Linked DNA regions of Caenorhabditis elegans. The protein of the gene in region 3 purifies or fractionates together with the protein of the main gene of each other region. This does not show direct contact. Each region holds a gene or a part of one and is shown on either strand. Other genes may lie near its edges. The genes, in order: Y59A8B.12, H20J04.9 and M18.3.

Region 1 (5,183 bases), on a different chromosome or scaffold from region 3:
TTTTTTTTCAAATTTTCCATGATTTTTATGGTTTTTCGCTTGAAAATCACTGAAAAACTCAATTTTCCGGGAATTTTCAAAATTTTGGCGGATTTTTTTAATTGAAAAATCGATTTTTATATAAATTTCTATTATTTTTCTTCAATTTCCAGTGAATTTCGCAGTAGAAATCGGTGAAAAGTGTCGAAAAATCCCAAATTTTGTGATATTTCGACTCAAAAATTCAGTTTTCGTCGAAAAAAGAAAAAAATTCCCGGGTTTTTGAATGGAAAAAAGCTCAAAAACCCTTAAATACTTAATTTTTTAGCTTGAAAATGTGAATTTCTCAAATTTTAGTACATTTTTTCGCGAAAAATTGGGTTTTTTTTTTAATTTTTAAGTCAAATTTTCATCAGAAAAAGTGGAAAATATCTGGAAATCAGCCGATTTTTAGTGCAAAAATGATTAATTTTTACCATTTTTCTAATTAAAACTTCACATTTTTAAGAAAAATGGGGTTTTTGTACGAATTTCAGGCATTTTTCATCAAATTTTCAGTATTTTAATCGAAAATTTCTGGAATTTTTCGATTTTCCGCTGTAAAACCCGGGTTTTCTTCAAATTTCGCGTGTTTTCGCTGGGAAAATCGACGGAAAACTCGATTTTTTCGATTTTTGGGTGGAAAAAATCGAATTTTTACGCGAACCTATCGTGTTTAACAAGATGTTCGCGGAAATGTCGTTGAGATTTCGAAGTAAATTTACAAATTCGAAATGGGCATCCATATGTTGCTGAAAGTCCCGGATGACGTTGTCTGAAAATAGAAAAATTTATAAAAAATCGTGAAAAAATCGCAAAAATCAGCGGAAAACTGTATTTTTTTGCTGAAAATCGGAAAAAAATCGGAAAAAAATCGGCGAAAAATTCACGAAATACCCGAAATTCCGCCGTTTTCTGTGCAAAAAATTGGAAATTGAAAAATTCGGCCAGAAAACTGACTTTTCAGGCCAATTTTCACCTAAAAATTCGAGAAAGCACTGATTTTACACGTAAAACCCAGGAATTTCATCAATTTTCCCTTTTTTTCGCGGAAAAGTCGAGATTCGGTGAAAAAATGACTGAAAAGTCGATAAAATTTGCAATTTTTCCCGTTTCCGACGGGAAATTCAGCTTAAAATGGCAAAATTCATAGTATTTTTTTTTCTATTTTTGGCGGGAAACTGAAGAAAATTCGAAATTTTAGGTGAAAAAATGAAAAAACCGCAAAAATTTCCAGATTTTTCGGTGAAAAATGGCGTAAATCAACGAAAAACTGATTTTTTTCAGCTAAAAATCGCTTTTTAGTGAGAAATTAATGAAAAAAATGGCTGAAAAGCCAAAATTTTGAAGGTTTTAGAATGAAATTCAGCAAAAATTATGAAAATTGTCGAAAAATTTCCACATTTTCCAACATTTTCAGCGTTTTTTCAATGAAAAACCACGCTTTTAGAGAGTTTTCCCGTCGAAAACGCTGAAAATGTTGGAAAATGTGGAAATTTTTCGACAATTTTCATAATTTTTGCTGAATTTCATTCTAAAACCTTCAAAATTTTTCGGCTTTTCAGCCATTTTTTTCATTAATTTCTCACTAAAAAGCGATTTTTAGCTGAAAAAAATCAGTTTTTCGTTGATTTACGCCATTTTTCACCGAAAAATCTGGAAATTTTTGCGGTTTTTTCATTTTTTTCACCTAAAATTTCGAATTTTCTTCAGTTTCCCGCCAAAAATAGAAAAAAAATAATATGAATTTTGCCATTTTAAGCTGAATTTCCCGTCGGAAACGGGAAAAATTGCAGATTTTATCGACTTTTCAGCCATTTTTTCACCGAATCTCGGCTTTTCCGCGAAAAAAAAAGGGAAAATTGATGAAACTCCTGGGTTTTACGTGTAAAATCAGTGCTTTCTCGAATTTTTTGGGTGAAAATTGGCCGAATTTTTCAATTTCCCATGAGCTTTGAGCCATTTTTCATCGATTTTTCCAGGTTTCCGTCCACTTACTGGACATGCTGCTGATATCCAGCAGGTTCCATGTACGCATCATCACAATAGGGACACCGATATCCCCATTCAGCTTTTGGAGTGTGATTTCGGAGTTTATGACGGTGTAGAGTCATTTGGGAGGCTGAAAAATCAATTTTTAGGCAGTTTTTTCGCGAATTTCCGCCAAAACCTGCAGCATAAACGCAATGTTCACATTGAAATGGCCGTGATTTGTTGTGAATATTCATATGCTCTGTATAACTCCGTTTTGACGATAATTCCTTCCGGCAAACTCTGAAAAAATTGAAAAAAATTCGATTTTTTCCAGAAATTTCTCACCCGCAGGTCCAAGTCTGCTTCATTGTCCTTCCATTCGAAGTTTGTCGGAATTTTTGAGTCGTCGGAAGTGCCAAATTCGATGGTCCCGGCTTCATGATGAGATGTTGCCAGTTTTCCTGAATTTCTGGATTATTTACGGAAATTCCCAGGTTCCGACTCACTTTACTGACGAAATGCTCACTTTTCGACATTTCCGGTGGTCTGAAAATCAAGAAAATCGATTTTTTCATCAAAAAACTCGAAAAAACATTGGAAAAATGAGAAAAATCCAGAAAAAATGACGAAAAACCGAGGAAAATAGGCGAAAAATTCAATGTCTCGAAAATAATGCAAGTGCGCTCCATTGGACTCGAAACGGTGAAATGCGCGCGAAATTCGAATTGGAAGAAAAATTTCGGTGGATTTCAGAGGTTTTCAGAGGTTTCAAGCTACCAAGAAAAAAAAATACACTTTGAACATTAGAAAATGTGTGGGAATTTGAAAAATAATTGAAAATCACTTTAGAAGCCCGAAAATTAAAGAAAATCGTCAAGAAAGTGGATTTTAACGAACAAATGACGAAGAAATCTTGAGAATTTCAATTTTTACGTATCATTTCAGTATTAATGTCGATTAATAAACATTTTTTGCCCAATAAAGTCAATTTCCAAGTTTCCAGCGAATAATCTCTGAAAATGCACAATAGGAAAACACAGAAAATATATAAAATTTGTCGTTTTTATTCATATTTTACAATAATCTTCAAAATTAGATGAATTATTCAATAAAACACGCTAAAGTCAAGCAGATATTCCTGCAAATTAAATTCAAATTCAAATTTCCCGCAGTTTTTTCAAAAGTACGCAGTACACCGCGACGCAAAAATGCACAAATCATCATTTTTTCGAATTCGGCGGCGCATTTTGAAAAAAAAGTCTTTTTTGTCCGTTTTTCAGCGAATTTTTTGCTTTTTCCATAGTTTTTTGCTTTTAATTTGAAAATCTACGCTAAATTCTAGTAAAAACTGTGCAATTTGCCACTTTTCCCCCCCTGAAAACCAACATTTTTGAGGTTTTTTCACCTTTTCTCCCAAAACTCGAGTAAAAATTTGAATTTTTCAGCAAAAATGGCCGATAATGGGAACGAGGAGGACCGAAACGGCTACATCATCAACCGAACTCGATTTGCCGCCGATTTTCACAACAGAAATGAAGATTTATCGGAATGGGAAGAGATGCGAGGCATCGAATGGTACTTTTTATGCCAGAAAACTCCCTGAAAACCTTAATTTTTCCAGGGATCTCATTCTTCACAGCGACGGAGGCCAACTTTACACACAGCTGGTCACTCGTTCTCGGCTACAATACGAAATCCCATGCAAATTCCTGCTGGAAGCTCAATATGGACAAGTAAAAGTCGGAGAAAACTTTGATGTGACAGTTTCTTCACGGAATCATACATTCGGAATGCGAATTGACCAACCTGCTGACAATGGAGCCATCAAGATTACTGCTTATATTGATTTCTGAATTTCCACTTGAATTTATGCAATTTGTGATATATTTTTAATTGTAACTATGTGTATACTTTGAATTAATTTCTTATTCTGTCGATTATCAGTGAAATATTGAATTTTAACCAATTTTATGATTATTTTCTCAAGTTTTCCGTAAAGGAAATCAAATATTTCGAAATAAATTCTGTTGGAGTACTGTAGTCGGCGAAGTACGCAATATCAAGTGTTTGCGTACTCGGCATTCTAATTGACGAGCTTCTGGCTCATTTTTAGATTTTCTTGGTTGTTTTTCACTTAAAAGTAGAGATTAACGTTTAAAGTGCGATTTTTTTGCTAATTTCTGCTGAAAAATAGAGTGTTATAACAAAATGTTTCTTTTCGTATGATTTTTCTCTTATTCTTTTCAATTTTCTGGCAATTTCCCTTGGTAAGAACATTTTCGCCAGAAAAATGACCGATAATTTGGAAGAAAAAATGAATTCGTTGAAAATGTAAGAATTTTACGGTTTAAATTGCCACATCTACTGATAAATTGAGTGGACTGAAATTATGAGAATTTGACGGATTTTCAGTGAATTTAACTAAGAAAAAATACACTTTCTCGAATTCAAACCTAAAACTTTTTTTTCAGCTCCAACACGGCCTCTCTTCATTTCAAAAAATAAATCAAATTGACGTGATGAACTTTCTCTGTGTCTCTCATGGGCGAGAGAGTGAGCTTTTTGAGCCGAATTTGTACTGAAAACGGTAAAATAGGCCGGAAACGGCTGATAGTGAACAAAATCTAATAAAAATTTACTAACTGCCTGATCAAACACATAGAAATTATATGAAAAAGGGCAAAATTGTAAATCACCTATGAATACGCCCACATGTGAAAGTTCAAAATTAGTGATTTTCCAGACAAAACTGATTAAAGCCGGCGATTCGCTGATAAATCTTTAAGTTTTTTATTAATATATTGTCAATTAAGACTAAGTGTATCTATTTTTATGCAAATATCTAGGTTAGTGATGTTCACGACGCCGGCAGACGGAAAAACAAAAGGCTACCTCAAAAAATGGATTTTTTCGGGACCTCTAGTGATCCTTGAAAAGAGAAATTTGAAAATTGAAGGCCACCATTTTGTAGATAATTTTTTTCTGATTATTTTCTGTTTTTGATGAAGGTTTTTTGATGAAAATTGACGTCGGCATCTTCAAAACAAGAATTAGGCCTGAAAACTCCAAAAATCGTTAAAAAACGACAATTTTTGGCGGGTTTTCCTAATTTTACGAGACGCACCAAGACATAATCAAAAATTCAACCTCACCAAAAGTTGCAAAATTCTCTAAGGAAGAGATTAAGATGT
Region 2 (5,767 bases), on a different chromosome or scaffold from region 3:
GAGTTTTTTGGGTTAGGGAATATGGGTACTTTAGGGGTACTGTAAAGGTATTTTAGGATTGCTGCAAATTAAGAAATCTTGAGCTGGGGTACCGTATGGGTACTGTAGCAGTACTTTAGATATACTGTAGGGGTACTGTAGACGTACTGTAGGCGTACTCTAGGAGTACTGTAGGGAAACTGGGGGGGGGGTACTGTAGAAGTACTGTAGGGGTATTGTAAGAGTTATATGGGGATACTGTAGAACTACTGTAGGATTACCGTAGTTTTGGAAAAAAATACTTTTTTTAAAGGGATATTGGTTTAGGGGTAACGTAGGATACTGTAAAGTCAAAATATAAAAACTGTCACATCAAATTTGACTACAGCGACGCGCGCGAAATATTCGCTCTCGATTCCTCATGCCGTAAAAACAGCTGGAACCACGGGTGATGACAGAAACGGGAGACGAGAAAATGCGAAGATACAGCGCAAAAACTGACGTTTCTAGAATCGAGAGCGAATATTTCGCGTGCGTCGCTGTAGTCAAATTTTATGTGACAGTTTTTATATTTTGATAATAGGAATACTGTAGTTTTTGGAAAAACATGTTGTCTTCTGAAGGGATATTGAGTTGGGATACTGTAGTAGTACTGTAGAGGTCCAGTAGAGGTCCTGTAGGAGTACTGTAAGAATACTATAGAGTACGGTAGGGGTACTGTAGGAGTACAGTAGTAGTACTATAGTTGTGTACTGTAGGAATATAATTTAACATCTTTCAGATTATAATAATTCCATACGACATCCTTATGAAGACAAAATATTTCGAACAAGATTCTGAGGAAGGCGATGCTCGTTTCCATTTCGCATCAACATTTCAAATTTTCAATCATTTCCCGGAAATATCCATGCCATTACTGAATCTGTACTTTAGTGGAATATTCAGAAATAAAATTGCACCGGGACCTGAGCATGGGAAATCTAGTGTTGAAACTGGCGCGAAAATTTGAATTTTTTTAAACTTTTTTCCAATTTTTCACACTAATAAAGAATGTTACTCTTCCAAACAAATTTTCAAAAGTACCTATTTTTATAGCGAAAAATAACAACAAAAAATCATTAAAAACCTATTTTAAAAAAACATTTTTAACCGAAAAAATTAAAGATCTTCAAAATTCTTTTTATCATTCATCATCGCTTCGGCCAGTCGTTCTTTCTTCATATCCATCGCCAATTTTTTCATTAATTCTTCAGGATCTTGTCCAGCTAGAGGATCAGTAGATTTTGTAGCCGAGATGATTTGATATTCACCAATTTGGGGGTCCTTATGGTAGTTGATCTGGAATTTAGTGTTGCTTTTTGAAATCGTGATGCAAGCGCGCTCCATGGCCAAATGGAAATGCTCCGCCCCCGAATGATGGGTCTCGTTAGGTATTTGGCGGCCGAACCGCGAATTACTGTAGTAGTACTGTAGGAGTACAGTAATAGTACTATAGGGGTACAGTAGGATGTAGGGGTACTGTAGTAGTAATATAGGGGTACTGTAGCAGTACTATGGAAGTAGAGTAGGGGTACTGTAGGGGTACTGTAGGAATACTGTAGTAGTACTATATGAGTATTGTAGGAGTACTGTAGGGGCACTGTAGGAATACTGTATTCGTACTATAGGGGTGCTGTAGAAGTACTGTAGGGATACTGTAGGAATACTGTAGGGGTACTACGGGGGTACTGTGGTAGTACTATTGGAGTACCGTAGGGGTACTGTAGTAGTACTATTGGAGTACTATAGTAGTACTGTTGTAGTACTGTAAGGACACTGTAGGAATACTGTAGTTTTGAAGTTTTTTTTAATTTTCGAATTTACGGTTTTGGAGTCAAATACCTAACGAGACCCATGGTTTGGGGGCGGAGAGTTTTCAATTTGCAGTGGAGCGCGCTTGCTCCTCAATATAATAAGCACTTTAACATCACTAAATTCCGCCGTTTCCAGTGCCCACAGATATCTCATTGGATCCCACTGATTCTCCTCAAGTATTCGATTTTCCGTCAATTTCTTCAACCGATCGAATTGCATTCCACAAATCAATGTTCCACCGGGTTTCAGAACTCTCAGCAGTTCCCGATTAATGTTTACCAGTGCATTTTGTTGTAGAAAATAGAAGAGATCCACGTGGAATACATGATTGAATAGATCAGTGGGATACGGTAGATTCCGTAGATCAACTGCCGAATCGATGCGGATTTTATCGGTTTCGGCGATTTCCAGAACGAATCGTTTGATGGCTCGTTCGTTCATATAGCCGGATCTTTCAACACCGAATACCTGGAAATTTTAGGTGTTAGAGAGAAAAAGAGAATGTGAAAATGATCAGATTTGCTACGTGGCCGTGAGGCGAGAAAACTCGGCCACGGCCGAGAAAAGAGGTTGTTTTGGGACACCTAGAAGGTGTAAAAATTTGTTTAAAACATACGATTAAAATTGGTGGCCGAGTTGTTTTCTAGGCCACACGTGGCAAAATGCACACCGCGAAAGTGAAGACATGGTGCATCTGACTGGGTTTTTTTTTAATACATTAGCCGGCATCGAGCTTCATGGCCGCGAAAAAGAGAAAACTCGGCCACTATCGGGTGGCAAAGTTTCAGATTAGTCTGTGGGAAAAAAATTAAATAAATCGGTGGCCGAGTTTTTGCTTTTTCTAGGCCACGATTTACAGATTTTTACAATTTTCAGGCATTTCAGGCAGGCCTGCCTACACCCTCTCCACCTACCATTCCCCGGCCGTCTTTAACCCGATCAAAGCACATTTTCATAGCATCTCCTCGTCCAAATCCAATTTCAAATAGAAAATCATCTTTCCCAATATCCATTTTCTCAACGACTTTCTCATTGAGCCGCCTGGATTTCGATGCACCATACTTGCTCACAATCATTCCAGTCATTGATTTAACCGGTAGAGCGTATTGATTTGCGAGATCACTTGTCGCCAGCTTAAATGAGTTGGCGAACAGTTTTGTTAACTTTTGGGAAGCCATTTTTTTGGAGCTGGAAATTTATTGATTTGAAAAATATTATTAAGCCGCGCCCCTTTAATGGCAAGTTTATATGTTCCATTTTGAACTTCTAAATTTAAAAAGAAACCCTAAAAAAAAATTTTTTTTTTCGATTTTTTTAATTCTAAAATTCAATATATAGTGCTAATTCTACACTGAAAACTGCTCCTAAACCGAAAATTCAAACTAAAATTTCAAATTTACGAGTTCATTTTCAATGACTTTCATCAGTAGTTGACACAAAATAGCACAATTAAAATAACGTTTTGAAAAGTCACAGGGGGACCTCAAGAACAACAAATATGACGTGTCAAAATTAATTTTTTTTGACTGAGATTTTTGTAACGGGGGAGCGGTTGAGTTAAGACCGACAGAGAAAGAAAATGTGAACGAAAAAATTGTAAAAAAAAATTAACAGAAAATGAGTACATTTCTAGGAAATAGTAAAGGAGAGAGAGCTAGAGAAAAAGAGCGAAAAAAAACAATTGAGATACGATTTTGTGTAGTCTGTGTGGATTTACGATATGGATATTTTGAATTTTTTTTAAGTATGAAAATTGATAGGTGAGGGGGGTAAAAGTAGAAATTCAAGAAAAAAAAGTAACAGAAAAATGAAATGAATATGTTTATTGATCGATGATCTCATCGAGACGATCCGCCATAAAATCGTGAAGTTCTCGAGAAAGCTTGTAGATTTCATTTTCCGGCTCATTGTACGTCTCGCAATTTGATAGGATTAGTTGGAAGTCGTTGCGAACCTGGAATTTTGGCGGTTTTTTTTCAAAAAAAATTCAACAAAAAAAAATTAATGCTTTGTTTTTTTAATTAAAAAATTTTAATTATATCAAAAATGCTAATTTTTAAATATAAATTTTTTTGCAGAAAGCAATTTTTTTTGGATATTTTTTTTCAAATATATTGTCAAATTTCAAAACTATCAACCTCAATAGGTTTATTATAAATCCTCTGCTTAATCTTATTCATCATAGTTCTCAAATTCATAGGCCGTTTGATGACGTCATAGTAATCTGGAACTTCTTTCGAATCAACTGGTTGAAGGAATGGCCATGAACATTCTTGACGCATTGCTTCTTTCAATAATGTCTCAATTAATGTCATTTTCTCTTTAATATTTGGTATTATGACACGGGAAATATCATTTGTAGTCGGTGTTGATGTGACTGATTTCTTGGATGTTGGTGTCTTTCGCTTTCGCGTATTTTCACCGTCAGAATCATCTTCATCAGTTAAAACATTCTCGTTTTCAACGTCAAATCTGGAAAAAAAATCTTATTAATTGAAAAAATTCGAATTTTAAAATATCCTTTTAAAGTTGAAAATAATTTTTTTTCCAACTTTTAAGAAATTTCAAAAAAATTGATGTACACCTGAATTTTGGCGGTTAAAAAAAACCAAACAAAATTTCTTATCTTTTTCTCAATTTTTCCAACAAAAAAAAATGAATTTTTAACTATTTAAAAAATAATATTTTTAATTTTTTGAATATTAATGTTTTACTTTTTTTGAAAAAAAAAGTTAAATTTTTTTTAAAACTACAAAAAAACCACTAATTTTTACAAATGTTTAGAATTTTCAGGAATTTTCAAAATATGTATAATTATTTTTAGGATATTTATAAAATTAATTTTTAAATTTTAATGTTTTTAAACAAAACTTTCACTCCAAATTTTGAGGAAAAAGTTTTTTTTTCAGAAAACTCGAATTTCTTAAAAAATATATAGTTTCTAAACAAATTTTGAACGGATTTTTCAGAAAAAAAATGCTGGTTTTTTTGGAAAATTAAGTCCAAAATTGTAGCAATTTTTAATAACAAATCTTATAATTTTTTCTACAATTTTTGAAAAAAAATTGAGCTTTTTAAAATTTTTCTGACAAAAAAAGTTGTATTTCTTTTTAAAAAAAATTTTTTTTGAACAAATTTTAAATGGATTTTCAGTAGAAAATGCTACTTTTTCCATTGAATTTTCAAAATTTAATTTTTTTAATTAAAAAAATTTATTTCAGTTATTTCAGTGTTTTGAACGGTTTTTAACCAATTTTTCAGATTTAAAATTCAATTTTTCCAAAAAAAAGGAAATTTTTTCTTTAATTTTTTTTTTAACAAACAATATGAAACTTCTGAAAAAAAAAATCATAAAAGGCATTTTGAACGATTTTTTCAGCAGAAAATTTAAGTTTTCCGTCAAAAAAAAAAATTCCAAACTCTCACATTCTAACAGAAACATTTCTAACAGGTCTCTCCGAAGGTGTGACTGGCATGGATCCATTGGATTTCCGATTTTTCAAGCTTAATCCTTCATGAATATCAGAATAATGAACTCGTTTTACAGCCCGACCACTTGCAGTTCGAATAGTTGGCGGCTCTTTAGAAGTTGTCGGGGTGCTACAGCTCTCAGCTGGCTCAGCAGTTTTTGGAGCAATTTCAGAGAAATTATCGCTAATCGATATATTTCCAATTGCAACATCTTCTTGTGATGAAGATTCAGCCAATTGATCATCATCCCGAGCCATTCGTTTTGCTTCATTCTCAACTTTTCTCTGTTGAGCTCTACAACTGGTGCACATCCAATCAGCTGGAGCATCTGAGTTAACATCCAGCTTTGCACATTTCAAATGATAACAATTATCACATTCAGAGCACAATACAAGATCATGAGCAGCGGCTTTTCGTCGGCATGAACGACATTTTCCTTGGAGACGAGATTTATCCCATTTGA
Region 3 (5,767 bases):
CAGGACCACAAGGACCACCAGGACAAAACGGAAATGACGGTCAACCAGGAAATGATGGAGCTCCAGGACAACCAGGACAGCCAGGACCAGACGGACACCCAGGACAACCAGGAAACGCTGGACCACCAGGAACTCCAGGAGCTGCTGGACAACCAGGAGGTGATGCTGCCTACTGCCCATGCCCATCCCGTTCCTCAGTTGTTCGTGCTCAAGCCGCTGTTGCTCGCAACCGTCACGTCGCCGCTAGACATCGTTCGGTTTCCCGTAGAAAGGCAGTTGCCGCCAGAAGATCCAAGGCTCGTCGTGTTGTTGCTGCCAAGCACCGTGCCGTTGCCAAGAGACATCGTGCCGTCCAAAAGGCTTAAATCATTCCTTTTCAGTAATAAACATAGATTGCATTCAATTTAACATGTTTTCCAATATTTACAAGAAATTCGTAACATCAATACAGAAACCTACAAATTTATACTTGAAGGGGAAATTTTCTTGAATATATTCTGAAACGACTTGAAATGAGGCGCATTCAAATACAAGGTATGAAATAATGTAGTGTTCTGTTTGATTAAATTTAATCCAAGAGTCTACGAGTTTTGGAAGCGAAAAAACTAATTATTTGCAAAGTTACCTTGAAAAACTTAAACACCGTTTTCGCCTTTTTCGATCACTTAAAAAAGGAAAAATCTACATTTCTGCTGAAATTACATCCTCTTTATCATGTGGAAGAAAGTTATTATTAACAGTACCCAAATTATCAATTTATTTTTCAACAAGTAATCATTCAAACATCAATTCACATCAGTTTTCAATAAATGCGGAGATTTATCACTTCCTTTGATAGAATTATCACCAGCGTTGCTCATTTTTGCCATTCTCGATCCAAATTGCATTGCCTGTTTCGGAGCATCATATGGGGATCCCAACATTTTCACTGTCTCTCGGAGCAATTGTTTCTCTCCAACTCCACGTGGCAATGATAGATCCCATTTGGAATCGACTGGAAGTGCGTTGAGCCAAGTGACTACGGTATCTTCGAGAAGTGGAGATCTGAAATATAACAAAAATCATATTATTTTTTTTATTAGGAGATTTTGAAAACTTACAAAATGGTCTTCCCAAGTTGAGCAGCAACTCTAGCATCTCTTCCTCCATTTCTCGATCCCAGCCTTCGCAATTCATTTTCACATTCTTCCGCTACATTTTCTGGAATTTGTTCCTTCTCAAATCGAGTTCGATGCCTTGCGTATCCGGCAAGAAGTTCATCTGCTCCTGATCCCAGAAGGCATGTAGTTGCAGGTGACCTCACTGATTGTTGATTCTCACTATCAACTCCTTCGGCTCTGACAGCAAACCACAGAACACAAGACAGTGAGTCATCAAGTACTGAACTCGCTGGTTGAGCTGCATCTGAGATAGATTCTTTGCGATTCACTTCGAGGGTTTGGCTATCAACGTTGACAAGAATGAGGCGAAATTGGCGAGTTGGGTATGCAGTTCGAAATGATTCCAGCGCCTTTCTGGCACGTTTACGATCAGGTGCTTGTTCACATTCCTATAAAATATAGATTTATTATTCGATATTAAATTAAAATAAAAACTCACTTTCTCACTATTACCAAATGCCACATTAATTAGATCAATTTGCATATTCTCTGGAACACTTGAATGTACAACATGAGCAACAAATGTAGAATCGACACCTCCAGACAAGCATACTGCCACGTGGCTTTCATGATCTAAAGTTAGATGTTATAAAAGCGATTTCATTAGAAAAAACAAACAATTTTTCAATAGAATCTTAGTCGCATCGATAACTTTTTGAAAGAGATCTTTGGTATTAAATGAGTCAATTTCTCCTCCAGTTGATCTACTAACATTCAATAATCCATGTTTCTTGTTGACCACAATTCGAGAGATATCCGACCCAGAAAAGTAGCCATCCAATACATTCTGTAATGATATAGCATTTATTGTCAGAAATAAGTAATAAATGCCTAAGCATCAAATATAGTAAAACTTTTAAAAATATGGAATTGTTTTTTCAACTAATTAATTATATTTTTATTTGTATTAGGTAGAATATCGTCCGTGGGGATTTTGTATAAATATCAATGTTTTGGTAATTTGTATTAAATTTGGACGTTTTGAAGAATTTCGAGCATTGTGGCAGGTTTGAACTCCTATTACGGGAACACAAAATTCTGAGAATGTGTATTTATTGCGAAAAAATTTTGACGCGCAAAATATCTCGAAGCGAAAACTACATCAATTATTTAAATGACTACTGTAGAGCTTGTGGTGATTTACGGGCTTGAAATTCGATATGATTTTTTTTTCGAATATCGACAGTGATTTTCAATTTTCGAAAAATTTTCCTTCGTTTCTTCGTAGGATTTTCTAATTTTTTGCTGAATTTTGATATTCAATCGATAAATAAAGTATTTTTGTCATTTCGAAAATCGAGCCCCGTAAATCGACACAAGCTCTACAGTAGTCATTTAAATAATTACTGTAGTTTTCGCAACAAAATATTTTGCGCGTCAAATATGTTGCGCAATATGCATTCTCAGGTTTTTCATAATAGAATGTTTGAAAAAAAAACCATACTATGATTAGAATTCAAAAATCGTAGAAAACCACTTTTTTACCGACACATCCGAAATTATAATGAAGAAAACGAGAATTCACCAATTCTTGCTTGAAATTTGAATTTTTTAAAAAGTTTCTATTCGGACATTTCAACACTTTACGAATTCTGAAAATTTTCCGAATTTCAGCAGTTCATCGGAAAATTTTCGGTTTTTTAAAAAAGAATATTCAGGCAAATTCTCCACTGGCGGTACTTCATATAAAATTGCACAAACCTCTGGATACTCGTCAAGATATGAATAAATAACTGGATCAGTTGAATCAAGACTAAAAACAGTCACTTGTCCGAATGGAATTTCAATCCATTTCCCAGATGTTTCTGGCTTTGTTCTACATCCAAAAATCATCGATTCGAAATTAAAAACCAAAGATTGTCTTCCAAAAACATCTCTTCCAATGAAAAGTTTTTTCAATTTCTGATTATAATAAATAATGCTCCAGGATCCTTGTTGCTCCAGAATTTCATTAACAATACTATTAACTGATCCATTTGAGAGTTTTGAAACATGAAGTTGTGAGGTGGTTCCAGAATAAACAAGATAATCTTCTTCAATCATTTTGATATATCCTTTTAATTCCTCGCCCAATGTTTCATCCTTTAAATGCCACCATCGATTGTAATCAATGCCCATTCTGAATTTCAGTTCTTTTTCCAAATTTCATAATAACTGGCAATAAGAAATCTCAGAATATTGACAGAAAAAAAAAATAGTTTCAAAGTCATTGCATTTAAAATTGGATAGTTTTATTACTACAAAGAATGAAAAAGACACTATCTCACAACATAATAGTCCGGGATATCGATTGAAGTAAATCATCATCAAAAAAAAGAAGCGGGAAGTGTTTTTGCGTTGAATCACAGAAAAAAATGAACTCGTTATTCTGAGGGTACTAGTACTCGAAACTATACAAGATTTTGAAGCAAAAAAAAAGAATATGAATAAAAATAGGATAAAGGCAACTGTGTGTCGATCGATAGTCGATAATTTAATAACCCATATGCTAAATGAAGACAGAGTGAAACTGGAACCAATAAATAAAATAAATATGGCTACTGGAGGGTGACGTGGCTATTCCACGGTGGCTTGTGGAATATTTTGAAGAAGGAAGAGTGTTTGATATGATTTGATTGTCTTGATCAGTTGATGTTCCAGTTGAGGATCAGCATGGCAGCAAGGCATCACATCAACAACCGATGGAAATAGTGAAACTAAGTGCGAGTAGAGTTCAGTCATTTTTGGATCTCTTGCAAGTCGTGCAATTAGTGAGTCAACAGCTTGAAGTGCAGATATGATTTCTAGTATTCTGGATCTAGGTAAACGAAGATCTCCAGCAGCAGACCAATCTTTGCAGAAATCAGACATAACCTAAAATCAGAGTAGTTTGTGTCTTTATCGGACCTATTTTTGATCCTACCTGTGTGCATCTTTGTAAAAGACTTGTCACAGCAACATTTCCAAGAATTCCTCTTCCTTCGTCTTCTTCAGTATTTGTATGTGCTCCATCAGATGACATCAATAGAGCATCAAAACAGGCCTTTGCCAGCTCATTTCGTTGAGTATGCGAGTCTGAAGCTGAATTCGAGGGTTGTTACCGAGTACACCGAAAACATGCAATCAGAATGGAGAAATGTGGAAAGGAATACCAACACCAACTAGTTTTGTGAGAAGTGTTAGAAGTAAAAAGAAGACGATTTCTCTCGAGCACTTACCAAGAACATCTGTAGAATCGATTTGTGAAATGGAGCCACGATGAAGTAGTGCAATCAGCCGTTGAACATCTTCTTGTGGTAAACGGGATGCATATGCGAGCATTTCACTTCGAATTATTTCAATTGCCTGACATTCCATTAGTTCATCACGTTTTCTTTCGTCTGCTGCCAGTCTCGTTGACTTGCTAGAACCGCAGCGAAAAATCAAAGATTAGAATTTTAAATTAATTGCATTTCTATTTAAGCTATATAAAGAGTGAAAAATTTAAAAATTTCCATAACGAAAATTACATATTTTCAATAAAAATATATAGTTTTCTTTTTTTCGTACATTTTTCAACACAAGTGTTTTTTTTTCAAATTTCTAACAATCGATGTTTTGAATTTCTCTGAAAAAAATTCGAAAAACCGAAAAAATTGAAGAATATTTTCGATTGAAACTATTGATCCATATTCAACATTTAGCAATTTCGCCCAAAAACTACGGTACCTGGTCTTGACACGACCAGTTTTTGCAAATACAAGAGACTATTCGTCTTAAAGGATTACTGTAGCTCACGATTTAAAAAAAATTCTATTCAAGTGAAACATAAATTTTAAAGGCAAACAACGCCGGGTTTGGAACGAAATACAGCTGTAGAAAAAATATAGAAATACTTCTAAAATTATTTTTTTTTAAACTAAAAATGCTGGTTTTTCGAGTCTCAAACAGCAAAAAAAATATTGCGAGCTTTTGCGATTTTTCCCTCAAAAATACAGTATGTGTACCTTTGAAAAATCAATTTTTTTTTGTTTTTTTTTGAATTGTAGTCATTCTCAATTTTTTTAAAATTTGAATTAGTTTGTAAATTTTGATGTTTTGATTTTTTTTTTCGAAATATGAGACTTGGAAAATGTATCTAAATGTTCTTAATTTATCTGAAAGTCATCGAAAAAGCTTTAATCTAAAATTAGTATGTATATTTTTGAAACAGAATTTTTTCGATAGTTCAGAAAATCAAGCATTTGAAAGAAAAGTTATTTAAATGTTTCTTTCGAATTAATACTGAAGAAGCCTTCTATTACACCTATACTAATTTTCCCCATGAGACTTTTTTTGTTGAAAATTTCCAAAATCAAATCTAAAATAACTTACTTTGGAGTAAAAAGCCATCTTTCCATAGTATCACAAATTGCAGACCATAAACCTCGAAAAACTTCTGGATTCTGACGAGCATATGGAATGGATGTTCTCAAGACAGACATCAGAGAAGTTGCAGCAAGTTTCCAAGTACTTGCAGAGATACAAGTGTACTTCATGTAAAGTGGTTCTCCGAGGAATTTTATGATATCAATAGCAATGAGCGAGTTGGCAACTTCTGGATTCTGTGATGTTGAAGTAAAGAATTCGATTGCAATTCGGAGAGAATA

Evidence for each region.
Region 1: the proteins of M18.3 (region 3) and Y59A8B.12 fractionate together in Caenorhabditis elegans (co-fractionation; one large-scale study listed by BioGRID). This does not show direct contact.
Region 2: the proteins of M18.3 (region 3) and H20J04.9 fractionate together in Caenorhabditis elegans (co-fractionation; one large-scale study listed by BioGRID). This does not show direct contact.

What each region holds. Positions count from the first base shown.
Region 1 is NC_003283.11:18,084,478-18,089,660, reverse strand, and holds Y59A8B.12 (MATH domain-containing protein), read left to right. Parts: upstream 1-3,436; 5' UTR 3,437-3,442; coding exon 3,443-3,567; intron 3,568-3,613; coding exon 3,614-3,845; 3' UTR 3,846-3,952; downstream 3,953-5,183. Other genes in the region: slr-2 (Synthetic with Lin-35/Rb), read right to left, coding at 686-793, 2,017-2,140, 2,189-2,292, 2,338-2,453, 2,499-2,528; fbxa-106 (F-box domain-containing protein), read left to right, coding at 4,534-4,579.
Region 2 is NC_003280.10:4,348,442-4,354,208, reverse strand, and holds H20J04.9 (Methyltransferase domain-containing protein), read right to left. Parts: upstream 3,022-5,767; 5' UTR 3,012-3,021; coding exon 2,748-3,011; intron 2,302-2,747; coding exon 1,939-2,301; intron 1,318-1,938; coding exon 1,138-1,317; 3' UTR 1,051-1,137; downstream 1-1,050. Other genes in the region: H20J04.7 (Serpentine Receptor, class Z), read left to right, coding at 761-988; athp-2 (Bromodomain adjacent to zinc finger domain protein 1A), read right to left, coding at 3,656-3,787, 3,972-4,305, 5,260-5,767.
Region 3 is NC_003282.8:12,103,370-12,109,136, reverse strand, and holds M18.3 (Asparagine synthetase domain-containing protein), read right to left. Parts: upstream 3,280-5,767; 5' UTR 3,279-3,279; coding exon 2,862-3,278; intron 1,948-2,861; coding exon 1,779-1,947; intron 1,734-1,778; coding exon 1,600-1,733; intron 1,550-1,599; coding exon 1,101-1,549; intron 1,045-1,100; coding exon 786-1,044; 3' UTR 744-785; downstream 1-743. Other genes in the region: col-129 (Nematode cuticle collagen N-terminal domain-containing protein), read left to right, coding at 1-365; mon-2 (Monensin-resistant homolog 2), read right to left, coding at 3,717-4,013, 4,063-4,220, 4,358-4,542, 5,493-5,767.